Danio rerio: one gene and its partner. The protein of the gene in region 2 purifies or fractionates together with the protein of the main gene of each other region. This does not show direct contact. Links are inferred from orthologs where the notes say so. Each region holds a gene or a part of one and is shown on either strand. Other genes may lie near its edges.

Region 1 (2,586 bases), about 3.1 Mb from region 2:
CAGGTATGCTAGCAGTGAGGCCGGTTTAGCAGTGCTGAATAGAAAGATCTATGTTTTGGGAGGTTATAGCTGGGAGACCATGGACTTTTCACAGGGCACTCAAGTGTTTGATCCAGACAAGGAACAGTGGACTTTGGGTCCAAATCTGCCAAAGCATATTGCTGGACCTTCGTGTGTGTGTCTTATCAAACCTGAGCTAATCGATAGTATAGACACTGAGTGAGTTAAACATAGCTCCAATCAGGAGCACCATAAGTGATTGACTGGGTGTCTTCTTCTAAAGAACTAAACTATTAAAACTTGGGTTGTCAAGACAAAATCGATTGGATGCTTCTCAGAGCCTTTAAAAAAAGGTCAGAAGACAATACTGTGCTGTCAGGCCTCGAATAGAAGCATAAACTAACTTTGTAGGTTTTCTTACAGTTTTTTTTTATTTTTTTAAAGATGTCTTTGATGTTTGATTTGCATTTAAAACATTGTTTATTCAAAAAAGAAATCTGGTTAAAGGATATCAGCAGTTTGGAGAGTCAAGAAGCATATATAGGCAAAACAAAATTAATATGTGTGGGTTCTGATGATACATTGAGGTAATATAAAGTGAAATGGTCAAGAAACTGAACAATATTTACAACATTACCTGTACACTGCAGCCTTAACAAACAGCCCTGAGCATGTTCACAGTTCATAAAACGCCAATCACCAGAGTTTCAGGTAATAATCTTCTTTAAAGAGTAAAGAAAACCTTTAGGCGAAGTCTACCTCAGAGATTTTTTGTTAAAATACAACTTAAGTGTGCATGGAAAGCTGTGAGCAGAAGGTTGGGGAGTGGGTGTGGTGGAGCAAAGCAGGGGAGAAAGAGGAGAGGGTAACCGTCATCTGCCAGTGGCCCATATTGACTCTGACTCGTGAGGAAATGCTAAATTTTTATATTTAAAGAATACTTATTTTAACATTTAGACAGACATTAAGCAGATTTGAAGGGACAGAAGTGTCCTTGGCCACTTGAGTGTTTGAAAGTTGGGTCTCAGTGTTTGAATGCCGTGTCAATTTACTGACTGATCTGCTGATAGACGTGGCTTTCAAATACTCTACTGTCTGCCTGCATCTCTTGTAAACCTGTGATCAATAGAGCCCATCACTTTAGAGTCATATCAATCAATCAGCAGTGTTCAACAATCCACTCAGCAGCGCTCAAAATGCAAGTGGGAAATGCTGTAATCAGTACATATTTTTAAATTTAGTACATGCTCAAAGAGTTTGCCACAACTGACAACATGAATGCCTAATTACTGTCTGTTTGGTCTTGGAACTTGACCTAACAATTCTTCTCACAGGATAACAAAACTTAGTCTAATGTCATCATACAGTGTACTTGAGTATGTCCTATGCTAAATCACCAGAAATGACACAGGCACAATATAAATTTCAAACACAGAAGATGAAAATATGAGGGAAAGCTGAAATGTAGCTAGTTATTCCCTACAATTAAAGCTAACAGATGCTAATGTTGTCTTAAATGTTCAAGACACACAAATCTGTGCATTTAGTCCAGAGGTTCACGAACCTTTAATGTTCTAATGGAAAATAAGTTCATCTTTAATGACCAGAGAATGAGCAAATAATAGCACATTTAAATCAGCTAACAATCCCTTTAACAACAATACCAGTCAGATTTTTAATTATTAATTTGTTTTATTTTTGCTTTTAACAGGCAAGGACAATGATGATGTACAATATAATGTTACAAAAGATTTCTTATCAAAGTTTAGCTGTCCTATTTGTCCTGAAAAAAAGTATCACAGTGTTCGCAACAATAGTAAGCAGTGCAACTGTTTCAGCATTCATCATTGTTTCTTAAGAGCCAAATCAGCATATTAAAAAGGTTTCTATAAAACTCACCACATTAATAAATTACATTTTAAAATACATTTAAAGTATTATTTTTACATTTCTGTTATTTCTAACAGTATTTCACTGATCATTAACATTTGAATGTTATTGTATACCTTAATGCTTATCTTGTGAATCTAATATGCTGCATTTTATAGCAATGCATTAAAATCTCTTCCAGAAGTGCTTGACCGTTGATTTTCCTATGTGGGTTCTTTGTCATCCAAGACTAACAGCATTTTACTTGAAGGGGTAGAAGTAATGTGCTTCCAACCTAAAGAGCAATAACACCATACTGTTAATTACTATCTTGGAAACACTGTTATTCCTGTTTGCAATCAGATCACTGTTTATGTACCCACATTAACTAGTGCAACATTTTGTATTGTTTCATACAGAGCAGTTTATTTATTTTGACCTTTATTTCCAAATGAAAAGGTTGGAAGCAATATTGACTGAATTTTAACATCCCTTGTTTGATTTGGGATGTTACATTTTAAGCATAACTTAAATGCAAAATAAGAAAAAAAAATCATCTTGAAAGGTTTATCGTTGCATATTATATGCTGTTTACATATGCATGACAATGTACTTGGACTGTTTTGTGTAAATGCCTCCTTGACCTTTACTATTAAAATAACTGAATTCAATATACTCTTACTCTGTTATGATGCAGGCCCTCCAGCCTCTATTCAA
Region 2 (3,500 bases):
GTTGTCTAAGCCTAGGCGTGGGTAATCGTTTTCCATCACGCCCTGGATAATGTTGGTCATTTGCTGGTAGTCCTCAGGGCTAACCTGACTGAAGTTAATATGGTGTGGGATCAAGCCTGGATTGATCTCTTTGCCAAGGAAACCAATGATCTTCTTTGTGTTCCTAAAACACATTACAACAAGAAAATCAACTGTAAGGTCGCTGGCTCTATATTGAGTTTTATAACGTTTATGGAGTGTTTTCACTTACATTTCCACACATTTGGCATTCATGATGTTGGCTTTGAAGCCCAGCACAGCAAACACGACTAGAGTGGCCAACACGGAGGTGAAGAAGTTAATGAAGGAAACCAGCACTGCATCGAAGTGGCAGTTGTTGTCCCGTTTGTTGTAGCTGGAGAAGGCGATAACACCACCGAAACCGAGTCCCAGAGCAAAAAAGACCTGCGTCGCAGCTTCACGCCACACTTTAGGCTCTAGCATGATTTCCAGCTGTGAGAAGATATTGAAGTTGATATTGTAGTATTAGTTTTCACATGCTGAGTGTAGGAAACTAATTATTAGCCCTCCTGTTTTTTTTTTCAAATGATGTTTAGCAGAGTAAGGATTTTTTCACAGTATTTCCTCTAATATTTTTTCTTCTGGAGAAAGTCTTATTTGTTTTTTTTCCAGCCAGGATAAAAACAGTTATTTATTTTTTTTCAATACTATTTTAAGGTCAATATGATTTGCCCTCTTAAGCAATATTTTTCAAATGTCTACAGAACAAACCTTCATTATGCAATCACTTGCCTAATTCACCTAGTTAAGCATTTAAATGTCACTTTAAGCTGTATACTAGTTTCTTGAAAAATTTCTAGTAAAATATTATCTACTGTAATCATGACAAAGATAAAAGAAATCAGTTATTAAATCTATTGATGAAGAAATTAGGGAAAAATATACAGCGGGGGCTAATAATTCAGGGGGGCTAATAATCCTGACTTCAACTGTATATTGAAAATTTGGTACATGTACATATGGAAATATGGAACATATCTGGAAATATATTAAACTGTGAAGTAGATTTTTCAGTAGTGGATGACTGCCTCTTTCACTCCTGCTGACTAATAATTACAATCAAAATTAAAATTTTAGTTTGAATGTAAATAAAATCAGATAAATCTTTTTTTTCCACAATGATGCCTCTTGTAAATTGTACTATTATCTCTTGGGGGAAACCTATGTCATTTCTGGTGAAAAAAGTCCAAATTTGCCTGGGGTATAAAAAATGTCAGGCTTGACTGTAGATAAAATACTTTTTTAGACATTGGCTTAAACTACATATTTTAAAGAACATATTTACACAGAAATGTGTAGCTCTATAAAAAGATTAAGTGACCACATCAATGATATTATCAGTTATGTGGATTTGCCATTGAAATGCATATGTTTTGAGTAAAATGTATATAAAAAACTCAACAATAAAAATATTTACAAAAATAATAATAATTTTAATAATTAACTGTCGAAAACGACGATAGGTCAATATAAAATTGCTTTTAGACTTATTTATATAGTATATAATGGGGAAGAATTTATATTTGTACATTTTACATGGTTGACACACTAAGACTTTTTGGAATATAAAAAACGTTTTGAGATGTTTAGAAAGTACAAAAACTAAGTTAAAAAAAGGAGGCGTGGCACTCAACCCCATCCCTAAACCCAACGGTCATTGGGTGATGAGCAAATCGTATTAAATTGTACGAATTAGATCGTATGAATTCATATGAGTTAGCCACTAAATCAAAAAGTTACGAATTGCTGTGAGATTGTGTTGGTTGGACTCAGGGCTGCACAATATTGGAAAAAATCAGACATTGTGATATTTTGTTTTGCTGCGATACATATTACGAGAACGATATGAATATAATTTCACCAGATGATTTCAGTAGCTATATTTGAAAAGATTTCATTCATTTGCTTCAACTAGGATGATCAAGTCTTTTTCTATGCAGTGCATCTGCATAAGATTTAAAACATTACAAGTATATATAACTACAACAAAGCAAAAAATAAAAGTTATATAAACTTTTAGATAAGCTTTGTGGTTTTCTGGAGAGTCAAACTGTATTTAAGTACAGCAACCAAATGTAAAATAACAGTAATCATTGTATAAATCATTTTCAAATAATAATATCTTTATCTTTTTATCTTTAATAAATAATTAATCCTGCGATGTAACTATTGCTGATATACAAATTGCAATATCCATGCTCAGATGATATATTATGCAGCTCAGAGTTTTTAAATGCATCTTTAAGAATCCCTTATCTAATGAGCACCGACACATTAATTACTCCTGAAGCACTTTTTGTTTGATTCTGGATTTTATAAAGAATATATGAAGAGTTTAGATGCAAAAACCTCTAAATGCCATTTGATACTTTCTTCTAAAATTAGTATTTTTCTCGGACCATTGTGGGTGGGCTCAGAAATTTTACTTTTATAATCATGAATAAGTTCATTTCATTGCCTTCAAAGTGAAATACTTCAATATAAACATAGGAGGCTGAGAAAAGGGCTCATTTTAGCAGAAAACTTCAGATGGCATTTAGAGGTTTTTGTATCTGAACTCTGAGAAAAACAAACAGGTTTGGAACATACAAAGTGCTAAAAAGCCTAAATATACATCTTTTTATATTCTGTCTATGGTTATAAATCATCGAATTACTAAAATGACTGTTTTTTTTTTCCTTATTTAACAATGCAATAATTGTAATGGCTCTGCAGTTACCATTATGGATGATGTGGTAGCAGTACTATTTTTTAAAAGCAGAGGCTACATACTATCATTTAATTATGCGAAGCACAAACCACCCACTGATAAGACTCTTTAGTAACACAACAAGGGGTACATTGACAGCCCGAGCACTGAGAAACATGACCACGTCTTGTTTCTGCATGTTGCATGTTTATTATGTACAATAACGGCCACAACAAGACAGTCAACTGCGTTCAGGCTTTGCTAAGAAAAGAGTTAATTCACTTCTGTTGAATCACGTCACAAATGCATGCTGGCATATCTGGCGGGTATATTGTTTCCATAGATACACCTACTAGTCTCCACTGGACCGAGACGAAGAATACACATGGGAATTAGTAATGGGTGATTATGATCATTTTGAATGAATTGGATTAATTGCTGATGTATGAAGCAGAGCATGTCAGGTAAATTGGTCTAATCATTGTGGCAGCATGTCATCTGCTCTGCATTGTGTCTTACCTTGGGGGTAAACATGTGGATGATGCCGTCCACAGAACCCTTAAGCAGGAAAGCACGAGCCAGGAAACAAATAAGCACCACGTAAGGGAACAGAGAGCTGAAGTACATCACCTGCAATCACACATGACCAAAACAATTAGTAAATAATGTAAACGTATAATGTTATAATTGATAAAAAAATAACATTTTGATCTCTATTCTCCATGCTAGCGTTTTTTAAACCGTATTACAC

What was found.
Region 1: the proteins of slc6a15 (region 2) and klhl36 purify together in Homo sapiens (co-immunoprecipitation; 3 studies listed by BioGRID and IntAct, counting the BioPlex papers as one, with this or other methods). This does not show direct contact. The link is inferred for Danio rerio from reciprocal best matches to the Homo sapiens genes SLC6A15 and KLHL36.

The regions. Positions count from the first base shown.
Region 1 is NC_133193.1:14,461,764-14,464,349, reverse strand, and holds the end of klhl36 (kelch-like protein 36), read left to right. Parts: coding exon 1-223; 3' UTR 224-2,086; downstream 2,087-2,586. Other genes in the region: zgc:56622 (uncharacterized protein), read right to left, coding at 2,131-2,164, 2,552-2,586.
Region 2 is NC_133193.1:17,538,591-17,542,090, forward strand, and holds part of slc6a15 (sodium-dependent neutral amino acid transporter B(0)AT2), read right to left. Parts: intron 3,380-3,500; coding exon 3,269-3,379; intron 493-3,268; coding exon 251-492; intron 164-250; coding exon 1-163.